Linked DNA regions of Notamacropus eugenii. The protein of the gene in region 2 binds, or shares a complex with, the protein of the main gene of each other region. Links are inferred from orthologs where the notes say so. Each region holds a gene or a part of one and is shown on either strand. Other genes may lie near its edges.

The links. Proteins that work in one complex are often made in the same cells at the same time.
Region 1: the proteins of PLEKHM2 (region 2) and ARL8B are in contact, whole or in part, in a crystal structure (PDB 8JCA), measured with the Homo sapiens proteins. The link is inferred for Notamacropus eugenii from reciprocal best matches to the Homo sapiens genes PLEKHM2 and ARL8B. Residues at the interface, in NP_055979.2 of Homo sapiens: His70, Phe71, Thr72, Arg73, Arg74, Glu75, Glu103, Ser105, Glu107, Ser108, Tyr109, Arg111, Leu112, Glu115, Glu147, Phe148; in NP_060654.1 of Homo sapiens: Glu22, Thr52, Val53, Gly54, Phe55, Asn56, Met57, Lys68, Trp70, Arg77, Phe78, Arg84, Tyr85, Arg87, Gly88, Val89.

Annotation. Positions count from the first base shown.
Region 1 is NC_092874.1:440,877,756-440,884,608, reverse strand, and holds the start of ARL8B (ADP-ribosylation factor-like protein 8B), read left to right. Parts: upstream 1-3,840; 5' UTR 3,841-4,094; coding exon 4,095-4,217; intron 4,218-6,853. UniProt on the Homo sapiens protein: Small GTPase which cycles between active GTP-bound and inactive GDP-bound states.
Region 2 is NC_092876.1:55,088,930-55,096,481, reverse strand, and holds the start of PLEKHM2 (pleckstrin homology domain-containing family M member 2), read right to left. Parts: upstream 3,012-7,552; 5' UTR 2,841-3,011; coding exon 2,781-2,840; intron 1-2,780. UniProt on the Homo sapiens protein: Plays a role in lysosomes movement and localization at the cell periphery acting as an effector of ARL8B.

The DNA.
Region 1 (6,853 bases), on a different chromosome or scaffold from region 2:
CTCCTTTAAGAAAAAAAAGAACCAGGATTCTAGCATTAATTAAGAATTCATTTCCCTTAGTAGAATATAAATTCCTAGAGGGAAGCACCTGCTTATATCTGTGTAGTTAGTATAGGGGTGTTGAATTGAATGAATGATAGGATAGATTTAGAAAAGGTACTTCATAAATTGTTTAGTTCCAATCCCTTTGTCTTACACATGTGGAAACTTGGGCCTAGATAGGTTGGGTGACTTTCCTAATGTCTCACAGAAATCAAGCCAGGAGTTAAAAACAAAATTTTCTTTGGGGGGGAAGGCAAGTGGAGTTAAATGATTTGCTCAGGGTCACACAGCCAGCAAGTATCTGAGGTTGGATTTGAACTCAGGTCCTCCTGACTTCAGAGTTGGTACTGTATCCACTTCACCACCTAACTGCTCTGGGAGTCCCATGACTCTGAAACTAGAACTCTTCCCATGTACTACCTTTGGAGTACATGCAATAATACCAACAATTACAACAATTATAAAGCCCTTTAAAGTTTGCATGGTCTTTCCATACACTGTTTCATTCTGTCTTGTTCCTTTCTTTTAGGAACAAGGGCAAAGCCTTGGTACTTTGTGCCTTGTACTTTTCCTGAAGGAAAGACAAACTATATGTAAAACTGATTCTCATTTTCCTTAAAACAAATTCTATAGAGTGGTACCTCAAAATTTACTAAGATATTTCAGAAGGGAGTGAGTTCCTGGAATTACCCCAAAGTCTCAGGAGTTCTCCCCTGCAATCTTAATATGATTAATTTCTAAACTCCTGAATCTATCAAGATCTTTTTTTTTTTAGCAGTTCCACAACTTTGTCTGACTTTATTTCTGTGATTCCAACTTGACCAATGTTGAAATAACAGAAAAAAAAGTGACAGTTTTTTTTTTCTCTTTCTCTTTTGTTATAACCTAATCTCCCTCAGAAAGCTTAAAGTGGGAGGCTAGTCCTGCTTACTGGAATTTTTACTTCAAATATGAAAATTCATTCATTTCTCCCAATGTTCTAAACTCCCTGGCTACAGCCCTTATTAGTTTTTCTGGCTGGCTGCATTTTAAATCTTTCAAGGTAACAGAATCTAGCTCCCAACACAAACATTTTACAAACACAGAGACACAGGCACAGACAAAATGACAAGACAGATACAAACAGAACTGGTTCAGTAGAGGCATACAAGTTCCCCCCCTCCCCCACTGCATGCAGTTAGACACAAAGTTGCAATTTTATAGACACACAGAGAGGCCCTAATTTTACAAAGGCATGCAGAGAGGCCAGAGAGACCTGAAACAAATGGGGACACAGGAGGGGCCTTGAAGTTTTTCTCACAAAGAAAGGTGAATTCAATCAAAACTTGAGCCCAGAGGATTGGAGCAGGAACAAAGGTGGCAGATGAGGTGGGGGCGGGGGGAGGAAGTCAAACTCTGGAGAAATCTCTGGAGGCACCTAGTCAACTCCCGTTGGTACCAGAAAGTCCTCTTGGCCTGATTCCATCCAGTCCCACTTCTGACACAAATTAATCTCAACCAAACTGGAGCCTATCTCTAAACGGTGAGTGGTTGGGGCTGAGCAAAGCAGGATAAGGACAGGAGAGTCAGGGATCAAATGGAAGTTTAATTAATTTCAGAGTGAGGAAAATGCTTGCAAGCATAAGTCCACCTTCCTAAGAAGGAAAGCTTAACTTGCTGGGGCAGGGGTAGGGCTTATATACATGAAAACCACAAAGGGTCTGGACTACAACACAATCATTCTTAGGTCTTGAGTAAAATTCTCCCAACAGGCTTTTGGAAAGAGTTCCCAAGTTGATTGCCTCAAGGCTTGATGAGCCTTGAGGTCATTCAGTGGGGTACAAAACCAGAGTTAGCATGGCAGAAATAGGAATGCAGTATCTGCTTCAGTTCACTTGGCAGTTACAAGAAATAAGGATTGTGAGCATGTTAGCAGATGTGATGGAAGGCTTCAGATTGCAGCATGTCACTGGCTTCTGGCTCTCAGGTCCCTAGGAAATAGGGGGAAGCTCCAACAAATCTAAACAGTTACTGATTTACATGAAAATCATAAATCCCTCAGTGAACACCTGGTGTTGGTCAAAGTTGACAGAGGGTGAGATCATCCCTAGTATAAAAGATTGTTGTTATGCCAAGCTCAGGGCACAGCCTGCTCACTGGGCCTTGGCCTTGGGAAGCAGGGTGTCTCCACATATCTTGACAAGATCAATCACATGTTGTTGCCATAGCTCTTTAAAGTTTTCAAAGCATTTTCAAGATAACAACCCTATGAAGCTGAGAGTGCTATTTTGGAGGGGTTGGAATTGTTTTTTTGGTTTTTTTTTGAGTGGGTGGGGAGGAGAAAGGCTGAAGTGTGGAGTCCAGACCTGTGATTTTATCAGTTTCATACTCCTGGTGTGGAAACTCCTTCCCTTGGTACAAATCTGCAATTTTTTTGTAATCAAGCATCTTAGAGAGTTGTCTAGGAAATGGTTACATGTAGTCAGGATTTTTCAAAAGGCAGGACAGGACCTCAGGTCCTTACATGAAGACTTGTCCTCTACTCACTATGCTTTGCTAATTCTCAGTACAAACACAATCATTCCCCATTTTTACAAGGAAACTGAAGTTTTGTGAATTTATATGATTCTCCCATAATTACCTTGCTGGTAGGTAGGAGGGAGAGGTATATAGCCCTATCATTTAAAACCAGGGTAACATCCAGTCCGGTACATTTTAGTGGCAGCTAGGAGGTATAGTGGATAGAGCTTGGGCTCAAGAAGACTCGATTTAAATCCTGACTTAGACACTTATTAGCTGTGTGAGCGACTTTGGGCAAATCACTTAATCTCTTTCAACCTCAGTTTCCTCATCTGCAAGATGTGGATCATAATGGCACATAATGGATGGCTGTGAGAACTAAATGAAATAGTACATAACATAATTATGCAAATAATATATAATTTATAAATAATATATTATTATTTTATTTAATATTAATATACTATATATTACATATAATATATACAAATATAATACATAACTTCATAAATAACAAACGATACAACTTTGCAAACAAATAGTATATCAAATAACTTTGCAAATGATTAATAATACAATTTACAACTGCAAATAACAAATAGCATAACTTCGGGAACCTTAATGAACTCTATAAATACTAGCCTTTTTTTTTAATACTAAGAAAGTGCTGTGGGGAAAAGCACCGTATTGTTGTTTTTTCATTTCTTTGATGGTCTTTTTAAAATTCCATTTCTCCATAATATCTTTTATGAACAAGGAATTACTTGGGGGCACTTTATTTTTTTTCAGTTAAATACATATTTTTTTCTTTCCTTTGTCTTCCCTTCTCCACGCCCCCCCCCCCCCCATTCCCCAGCTCGTCCAGGAAAAAAATCGAAAAAGAAAACATTGTAACAAATATTCCTAGTCACCCTGGCCACACCCACCGGTGCCGCTAGGCAGGAATGCAATTTGCAACAATGTCTCCAAAGTTACTTAAGCGGCCGGCCTGGGACGCTGGCCGCAGGAACAGTCCTGGGCGGTTTTGCTGTCTGGACCTCCGCTGCCTTCTCCTCCTCCATCAGCTTAAGTCAACTGCAAGTCACGTCATCATCTGGATGTCACGGTCCTCTTCGAGAGCGAAGGACAAACACAAAAACACAACAAAAGGGAGCGGGGCAGGAACCAAGCGAGCGACCGCTCTCCCTGGGAGAGTTAGGATGGGATGATTGACAGGAGCTCGCGCTAGGACTCTCTCCGTGGGGCGGGACGGACCCGCAGAACGGCTTTCGGGCCTCCCGGGACGGGGCTGTCCGGCAGGGGGCGCTGTGGGCTCCGAGGCAGGCGCTCGGGCGCAGGCGTGCCGCTCTCTCCGTGCGTGCAGGCCGGCGGGGCGTGGAGGGGAGGCCGAGTCATATGACCGCTCTCTCGGCTTCCTGGCTCCGGCCGCCGCCGCCGCCGCCTCTGCGCGTCTCGCTGTGTGTGTCCCCGTCGGCGTCGCTCCCCGGGGCCGGCCGAGCCGTTGGCGTGGGGGGTCCGTGTCGCTCGCGTGGAAGCTGCCCGCCCCCGCCATCATGCTGGCGCTCATCTCCCGGCTCCTGGACTGGTTCCGCTCGCTCTTCTGGAAGGAGGAGATGGAGCTGACGTTGGTGGGGCTGCAGTACTCGGGCAAGACCACCTTCGTCAATGTCATCGCGGTGAGCGCCCCCCCCCCGGGGGAGGGGGAGGGGCGGACACACGCCAGGCCCCGGCGCCCAGTACTCAGTAGGCGCCTGCTGAATGCGGGTGGGGGCCCCAGCACTCCTGCACGGCCCGGCCCCCGCAGCCCTTTAATCCTCGCCCTCTGCTACTTGATGCCCGGGGTTGCCGTCCTCTCTGGGCCTGTGGGAGTGGGGGAGGGATGCTAGCTCTACTTGGATTAAGCGCCTACTGTGTGCCGTCCAGCTCCCGTGCAAAAGACGCTGCCCGCCGTCTAATGGGGAGGGGGCCGGGGCCGGTGCGAGCATCCTTGCACTAGCAGAACGCGGTGTATAGACGAGATCGAGACTGTAAATTGGAGTAATTAGCAGAGGGAGGGCACTAGCTTAAAGGGGGGGGGGGGAGTCGAGACATGCTCCTCGTAATAAAGGGGGGGTTTTAGCAGAACTTGAAGGGAGCCCGGAGTCCGAGATGAGGAGGGAGAGGATGGCAGTAAGAACGCTGGGTCAGTAAAGGCAGAGGTTTAAAGGTCTCCGCTTTCGTGGAAATTGGAAGATAAAAAAGTCTGCTGTAGGAAAAAAGATTGCTGAAGGAAGAGGGTGTGGGACCTGGGGGAGGAGGGAGCGTAGGTGGAGCCTGCTCATCCCTGGGTGGCCTCCCACTGCTCGGGTGGGTACCTCCAGGAGCAGCCTCTGGGAGGTAGTTACCTCTGAGCCGTCGTGTGTAGGAACGGAAGAATGCTGATTGTGAAGTTGATGATTTGGGGGTGGGGGGAAGGCAGAGGAATGAATGTTGGGCCCAGAAGTTGGGGTCATTGGATCCTAAGGGCCAGGTGCTTGAGCTTTGGGAGATTCTTGAAGGAAACAGTAGTAGACCTGGCACTTCTCAGCCGGCTTTAGAAATCGCCATTTGACAGGACGCAAGCTGCCCAACTGGTTTGGCAACAACAATGATTCAGTAGTTCCTCTCCTAGGTTGAAGAAGCTAGGTAACCTGTGACTCTTAATCATTCCTGTTGCCGGATTACTGCAAAGACTAACCCTTGGGGAATTCAGCAGCTAGCTGAAATTAAAGCATAGCCTTTCAGTATATGAAGGCAGTTCTTAGAACCCAAGAATTCGAGTTCCTTTGAGGGAATTACTATTGCCAGCAGGAGTAATGGTCACATTTTTTTAAAAGCTCATTTTATAGTGATAACAGTTACTTTTAAAATTTGAAATAATCATCGCTGTTTATTGTACACGTATATCTGTGTCTATATTGTACATACATATCTGTGTATTAATGCCATTCTATATCTATATATCTATATCTTGATGCCATTCAAATGAGTAAAGAGGAATAAACATTTAGGTTATTTAGAAGACTAATAGTTGCACAAAATTTAAGTGTGATGTAAAAAAAAAGATGAAGCTTTAGGCCAGCTGAAAATAGATTAATCCTTTTTTGGCTCTTTTGATCATCCTAACTTTGTTTCGATTGTAACAGATGAAAATTGGAGTTTACTTTGTAACCCTTTGCAGAAAGGCCTATTACTCATGTGGTACTTTTTTTGCCAAAGAAACAACAGCTAACTTTTGAAAGTCTTAAGAAAGCTTCTTATATCTCTGAAGATTTTTTTTTCTTTATGAATGCTGGTGATATTCTGTATAGGCATTTCATACAAAAGCAAGGCAATTTTAGAAAAAATATCCAGGGAATCGCTCCTTTTTCAGTTCTCAGTTGACTTTTTTTTTTTTTAGCCGATTGGTTGACCCTTAATGGTATCCTGTACTTTGATAGAAGAGCATTTTATAATATTTCAAAATCTCTTGAATGAGGTTGGAATTCTCCAAATAAAATTAATCAGTCGAATGCTTTCAGTGTTATACTATATAGTCTTTGGATACTATTGATATACAGTGTTCTGAGATAAAATGTGGCCTGTAACTTTAGCTCATACTAAAATTTTTTCTTTAAACAAGGAGACCTTATTAAACTTCATGTAAAGCATGAAACTTAATATCAAAAATTAATTTTAGAACTTTTATTTCAAAGGACAATTTCATATTAAAACAATTTATTTACTCTTTCAGACATATAAAAATAACTTTAGGAATCTATGTATGTTCTGTGATTTTTAATAAGTTGAATTTTTAGACTTTAGACTTAAATACAGATGTTTAGACCATAGTATGTCTTTAGTGAAAATTGAATGTTTAGTCTAATCCATCAATCCTGTATTAATTACTTGCTACTCACAAGACTTAAATGCTTTAGTTGAAGCTAATTATCATTTTGGAGTCATTAAACTTCCAGATCAACTTTTAGTTCAATAAAAATAATGTTGCTTTAATTGGTAATCCTTTAAATAAAATTATTTTTTTTTTTTGATAAAGGTGAAATGTTTATAAGCCTTATTATTGATTGTAAAGGCAGGGCATTAATATAGTTAGAGCAGAGTTTCTTAACTTTTTTTGTGTGTCATGGACCCCTTGGGTAGTTTGATGGAGCCTAGGGGATCCCTCCTCAGAGTTAGGTTTTTAAATGTGTAAAATAAAACACATAGGATTGCAAAGGGAAACAATTTGCATTGAAATACGTTTACTTAAAAAAAAACAAAAATAAGAAGTTAGACCTTAGGGTAAGAACCTCTG
Region 2 (7,552 bases):
CCTGACCTCCCGGAATGATGCCACTACTGGCACAGATAAGATCAGAAAAGTCAGCAGTCCACCCTTCTCTTCTATTCAAAAGATTTATTGCTTTTTAACAGAGTGCTTTGTTCCTTCGGCCTTTCCTGGGCAAGCAAAAATCACGTACCATTATAAAAACCAGGCATTACATTTAGAAATACAAAACGGGTAATACAAAACAAAAAAACCCAAAAACAACATGGAATATCCAGGTTGGAAAGGATGCAGGGGTCACCTTGTTCAAGCTGGACCTACAGAAAACAATCATCATAAGAACCCTCAAATAGATCGGGCAGGTCAGTAGAACTGGACCCCTCCATCCAACAGTACAAACCCCACTCCATCCAGACTGGCCCGTCCTGACTGGACACTTGCCCACATCTCCCCTAAGCTCACCAGGAGGGGCCTCACCCAGTAGGAAAAACTTGTGAGGCCCATGCTGTGATGTTCCCTATTTTACAGATAAAGAAACTGAGTCTTTGCCACCTGGGTCACAGGGTCAGCAAGAGTCCTGAGAGCAGAGTCTTCTTGATTTGAAATCCAGGACTTTCTGCTACAACAGGCTGCCTCAGTCTCCTGGACAACAGGGCATCCAATCCCTCCTAGAAGACTGCCAAAGAGAAGGAACCCACCTCACCTCCTGGGGGCAGCCCACTACTCCAGGTTCTGCCCTCTGAGGACAAGCAGGACGAGGCCAACCTCACCAGTGAGATAATTATGATCATAATTATAACAACGTTAAAGAGGGCCATTTTCATTATATATAGCACCTATTTCATACCAGGCACAATATTCATAAGGATAATAAAAGGGGAATAAGCATTTTAATAGCACCTACTACGTGCCAGGCATAATACTAATAATATAAGGGAAAGAAATAAACATTTATATAGTGCCTACTATATGCCAAGCATCATCATCTTCTTCATAGAAGGGAAATAAATAAGCATTTATTTATGTGCCAGACGCTGTGCTAAATGCTTTTACAAATACTATCTGATTTGATCCTCACGATAACCCCGGGACATGGATGCTAAAATTATCTCCATCTCACAGTTGAGGAAACTGAGGCAGACAACTGGTAAATGTCTTAGGCAGGATTTGAACTCAGGTCTTCCTGACTCGAGGCCCAGTGTTCTATCCACTGTGCCATCTAGCTGCTGCAATAATAATCAATATTATTATTTATATGAATAAATAATGCAATTATGATTAAATAATAATGAAAACAACCAGCATTTTTATGGCATTTTAAGTTTTGCAAAGCATTTTCCATAGATTATCTCACTGGATACCCTCACAACCATCCTTCATCTCACAAATGAAGAAACAGATCTCATACTTTTACAAGTGACACATGACAACACCATTAGTACTGATGGCTCATTCTGAAATCAGCTTTTTAAGAAAAGAAATCCCAATTATCTTTGCCAGTTAAATTTTCAAGCAATTTAAGGGTGGAGAGAAGAACACACCCTGTCTAAGAGAAGGAAGAGCTGTTCACTCCTCCTCCTAGACTCAGAGATTCAAACCTAGCAGGAGCCATTCTGTCTAACCAACCTCATTTTATAAATGAGGAAACAGAGGTGATAGGGGCAGAATGAGTGCCCATGGTCCGGCCACTCTACCTCCAGGGCATTTTCCCTGGCCCAAAGATGCCAGATGTTTCTGCACTTCGGTCACTTGGGGCTGGGAAAATAAGGGTCAGTGTATGTTCTCTTTCTTCTCCACTAACCCTTTTTTCAGTTTCATTTCCTTACTTCTTGGAACTGTCACCAAATCTGGAGGTCGATGTAGAAAGACCTTGGAAGAAGACCACCCTGGAGCATTCACTACCAAACTAAAACCGGCTGGTCCTCCCAGACCCATTTCAGCGTAACCTACTCCATCCCCCCAAATCATCCATGACCATAAATGTTCTACCTGGAAATAGAAGGAAAAAAGGACAGAAAAGGGTACTTTCTAATGAATCACAACCGCAGGTCACTCCTTGTGCTCCTCCAAAAAATGTCCTAAAATACACCCGAGAGGGGAACCTCCCTGAGCCAATTCAGCAAGGTGAATTTAGGGAAGTCCCATCAGAGCCCAGCAGTGGGATGAGAAGGGGGGCGGGGGGGGGGGGGGGCGGTTCTCTGACTTGGCACTGGAACCAAGAATCCTTCCAGACGCAGTCACCCAAGACTGGGCACACACAGGGGATGAGACTGGGCTTGGGAAGGGCTTGACAGGAGACAGAGGAGGATCTTGTCAGTCACCCCCACTAAGCCAAGCGAGCCAGTTGAGGGGTGCCACTGGCTGCCAGGGATCAGGAGACCTGGGGGTGGGCGAGGGTGGGGGGTGACCCGTCCATCCCCTGAGGCTGTCATTTCGACACTCTGAAGAGGCTGATCTCAGCTTTGCTCTTTCAAAAGGGCCAATAGGACCTCGGGAGCTCAGGAGAGTCTACTCCCCTCCAGGCCACAGGCCGGGTGGGGGTGGGGGGCTGGGAAGGGGGGACAGGGGCGGAGCCAGCCTCTCCCGCCCCCCGCCCCAGCTGGCTGAAGGGGACAGGGTGATGTCATTGGGAAGGAGAAGCGTTTGGGGGTGGAGGTGGGGCTAGGCTCCCCTCGAACTTCTTGGAGGATGGAGGGAGGCCTGGCAGGACCCGGGCTCACAAGGCTCGAGGAAGAGGGGAATGGGTTGGGATTAGGGGGTCGCACGCTGGCTTTAGAGGGGTCCGCCCGCAGGGGCCTCGAAGGCTGGGTGGGAGGCGCCCTTACCTTCTTCACTGACAGAGAGATGTTCTCCAGGATGCGGTCCTTCACCTCGCCAGGCTCCATGGTGCTGGAGGCGCTGCCAGTGCCCGGGCCGGGGCCGCCGCCGCCTCGCCGTCTCCTCCCGCGCCGGGCCGCCACCGCCGCCAACCGCTCCGGGTGCTGCTCCGGCTCCGGCTCCGGCTCCCGCTGCCTCCAGCCGCCGCCCGGGGGCTCCGTGGTGGCGGCTCCGCGCGGCCGCCCCGCGCCGCCCTGCGCTGCTTCGTGCGCCGCCCGCGCCCCGGGCCCGGGGCTCCGCGCAGGCGGCTCGTGGGACCGGGCCGGGCCGGGAGAGAGGGCAGGCGCGGTGGCCGCGGCGGCGGCGGGGGAGGAGCCGCGCCGGGCAGCAGGAACTGATGTCAGGAGAGGGGCGGCTCGGCTCCGCCCAGCCTGCCCGTGACCGGACCCGCGACCCGGGATCCTGACCCGACCCGCGGCCCAGGGCGCCTGGGACCTGGCGACCCTCCTGACACTGGGGCCCCTTTGGACCTGCGCCCGGGACCCGGGGGTTCCCACTCTCCTAAGGTGTCCGTGATCCTAGCTCCTTTCCTGGGACCTTCAGCCTCCGACTCTCGGGCCCCCTAGATCTGCGCCTGGGACCCGGGGGCTCCCACTCTCCTAAGGTGTCCAGGACCCCAGCACCTCTTCTGGGACCCTCAGCCTCGGACACTCGGGCCCCCTAGATACGCGCCAGGGACCCTCCTGACACTCGGGGCCCCTAGATCTGCGCCCAGGACCCGGGGGCTCCCACTCTCCTAGGATGTCCGGGACCCCAGCTCCCCTCCTGGGACCTTTCTAATACTTGGGGCCCCTTAGTCTTCTCCTGGGACCCTCAACCTCGGCTGCTCGGGCCCCCTTGAACCTGCGCTCCGGACCCTGGGACGCTCCTGACACTCAGGGCCTTGGACCTGCGCCCGGGAACCTGGGGCTTCCAGGCCCTAGTCTGTACGGGACCCCAAATCCCCTCCTGAGACCCTGGGACCCTCTTGGCCCTAAATCTAGGACGCTTTCCCCCCACCCCTTGCACCCGAACCCTAGACCCCGGGGCTCCCACTCCCCTAGGCTGCCTAGGGACTCCCAACTACGCTCCCAAGACCCCTCAAGCCCTCGATCCCCAGCGGCTCCCGGGACGCTGTGACCTTCCTAGCTCTCCTAGCACCCGCCCCTCCACCCCCTCCTCGCGGATCCTCAGGACACTACGAACTCTGTGCCCAGCTGCCCCTTTGGTACTGCTCCCGGGACACTGACCTTCCAGGTCCCTGTAGTCGTTTCCCCCGGGTGACCTGCTCCTCAGCTCAAATCCTAGGACCCCCATGTTCTTCCCACGGTTTCTCCTGGCCTCCTAGCCCTGCTCCGCACCCACCCCAGCCCCTGCATTTTCTCTCCGGACCCTCTGACCTCCCAGTCATTGACTTGCTCGTCCTCCGAGGGAAACTCCTACCTTCCTGGCTCTCTTAGCATCCGCCCGGGATTCTCTGAGCCCTCGGCCCCTCTCCCAGGCCCCATGGTCTTCCCCTGAATTGGGTCCCCTCCCTCTCCTCTCACCCCCTCTCTGTAGCTTGTACAGTCCCCTAAGCTGCTGTCTCGGGTTCCCCCCCTCAGTCTTGTTGCTGTAAGATTCTTACACAGTCCCTCCTGACCCCCTCCCCCATTTCACTTTGGGTACTCTCCAAGCCCAGCAATTCGTCCCCCGGGTACCCTGGAAGCCCCTCCTCAGCCCTTGTAGACTCCAACCCAAGCCCCACTCCCCACACTCCCCCTTCTTTAATTTCTGTAACTTTAATTGGTGATTTATAGCATGTTTTCATATGCTTGTTGATAACTTGGATCTCTCCTTTGAAAATTTCCTTTGACACTGATCTACCGAGGAATGGATTGCCTAATACTGTTTCAAGGGACACCCTGCTACCTTTACCCCTGTCTGGTAGCACCCGGATTCCTAACACTAGCCCTCACTAACTCCCTACCTGAGAAAACCACTCACCTAGAACGAAATAATAATAGTTATTGAGTGCCATCCTCACAACAATTCTTAGAGGTAGGTGAGTAGTCCAAGTATTATTTTACAGATGAGTAAGCAGGATCAGGGAAGTGAAGGTCATATAGCATTTGACTCTGGCAAAATTCTAACCTAGATCTGACTTAAATCCAGCCTGCTACCCATACCACCTGTCTGCAAACAGCTCATGCCTCATTCCCCATTAGTTTCTGAAAGAGCGGTCCTGGAAACTTTCATGATTTAGGCACCAGGAGGACTTCAGGGAAATGGAAGAGAGATGCTGGGGTAGACAGTTTCTCACAGGGATTTTTATTTTAGGATTAAAGTCATAGTTGGGGCTCCTCTCCTGGTCATTTTCTACCATCTTTTAAAGCCAAACTCAAAGCCACCTCCAGAAAGCCCTTCCCTGATTCCCCCTCCTATGCAACCATACCTTCCCTCATTATTGCTCTTTATTTTGAAAATCTCTAATAAGCTTCTCATGTAATAGTGGTCTATAGTCATCTCTCTGCTTCCTTCTTTTGACTCCTTGAGAGTAAAAACCATGTCTTAGATAACTTGGTATTTCCCCAGCACCTACCATAGTCTTTCACAGATAGGGGCTATATATTTATTGTACTCAGATTTTTTGTTTCATTTAGTCTACCTGACCCTCAATTTCCTCATGTACAAAGCAGGAACTGAACACTTTGTGGGGTTGTAGTGGAGAAAACATTTTGAAAACTTTTAAACATTATATTTGATTTCCTTGAACCTGATCTGTTACTTCATTGGTGTGCCCAGTGGGCACAGTGTCTGGCACTAGAAGGCACTTCATGTTGATTGGTTGATTGCTATGAAGAATTCCCACTGGGAAACTCTCCTCTTGTACCAGGCAGCTCAACAACTACTTTGCAATTTTAGGGTCTTATCAAGTTTTCTGGGTCAACTGAGAGTTAAGTGACTTGCCCAGAGTGAAATTGCCAGTATATGTTAGAGGCAGGGTTGTTGAGTGGTGACTGACTTTTCATGACCCCATTTGGAGTTTCCTTGGCAGAGATACTGGAGTGAATTGCCATTTCCTTTTCCAGCTCATTTTACAGATGAGGAAACTGAGGCTAACCAGATGAAGTGATATGCCTAGGGTCACACAGCTGATGTGTCTGAACTCAGGTTGTCTTCCTGACTCCAGGCCCAGAGCTCTATGTGCTAGCTGCCCCATGGGGGTCAATACTTAAACCCAGATCTTCCTGATTCCAAGGCTAGCTTTTTATCTATTATACTACGTTGCCTTTGAAATCACAAAACGCACACCCAGATATCTAAAGGGGCCCTGACATGTGAGTCTGCTTAAAGAGCTTGGCTAACAGCCTCAGCCCTTCAAGAGGCTGACCCTCCCCTCTCACTCCACCCAAGCCTACAGGGGTAACCACAGGCCTAAACGTGTCCTAAGTATTTCTTGATCCTGAGGAACATTCATTCTGCCCAAAGGTGAAGAGGAATTTGTGAGGATAGACCAGTTGCATGGGGTTGGGGGGCACAGCCCCCCCTCAAAGCATGAGATCACCAGGCAACAACAGCCAAGCTTGCACAAGCATCAGGCTGGTTTGGACCAAGTGGGAGTGGCTATACATCCACAACCACATAAGAAATGTTGAGTAGTAAGAACTCAAGAGACACCTAGAAAGTCTTACATGAACTGATGCAAAGTGAAATAAGTAGATCCACTATGACTCCAACCAGAGAAAGGAGGACTAAACTCAATGTTATATCATTATGATGACCAAACTTCTCTCCAAAGAAAAAGTTACTTAAATTTGCAGAAATATAAAGAAAAGTCTTGTACTCAACTTCCCTCCTTCCCCTACTCCTTTGCAGAGGTATAGGCACATATGGAGTATTGCATTTAAATGTCATATTTTTTCCAATTAGTCGATTGGTTTGTTAATTTTTTTTCTCTTGTTTAAAAAAAATTCATGTTAAGACGGATGACCCTATTGGGGTCAGGATTTAGAAAAAAATCTAGGTGATATAAAAACAAGATATCAATAAAATCTATTATTAAAAAAGGAAAAATAAAGGTAAGAAAACATACCTCTCCCTCCTTTCTGGCAAAGGTGGGGGACTATGGCTACGGGATATTGTGTAGAATATCCAATTTGGTTGAAAGTTCGGCTAATTTTGCTGAAAAGCATTCGTTGTTCTCACTTATTCTGTTACAAACGATGACTTTCTGGATGTGGAAGGGAATTATATGGAAATGTATTATAAAAACAAAACATCAAAAATATATAAGCTCTCCTTAAAAATTGGAGAGAGGGGAATGGCTGTCATCACAGAACACAAAAGGATATTGAGCAGAGGCTGTCGGGAAATCCTAATATTAGAAGCAGCTGGAAATGGGACACTGAAACCTACTCCTTTGGCATGGGTTTGTTGTCCTTTAGATCACGTGAAGTCGGGATGGGGGCGGGTACAGAGGGCATGAGACTATGAGTCAAGAGTCTCCGTGAATCAAAATTCCTTAACCACCTCACACTGGAGCTTTAGACAAACCATAGCCTCCAATTCCAGGAAGGGTGAGAGTTCTTTTTCATTATCTGATTGCGAAAAAAATCTTCTTAAATTAAAGCAGGAAAATATTAGTCGTAGAATGCCGTATTCAGAAGGGAAAGATGACAAACAGGCTCCACCCACTTTACTTTCCCAGGTGATCCTTTGGACTGGAAGTTGCATCAATGAAAGGGAACCAATAGACCCC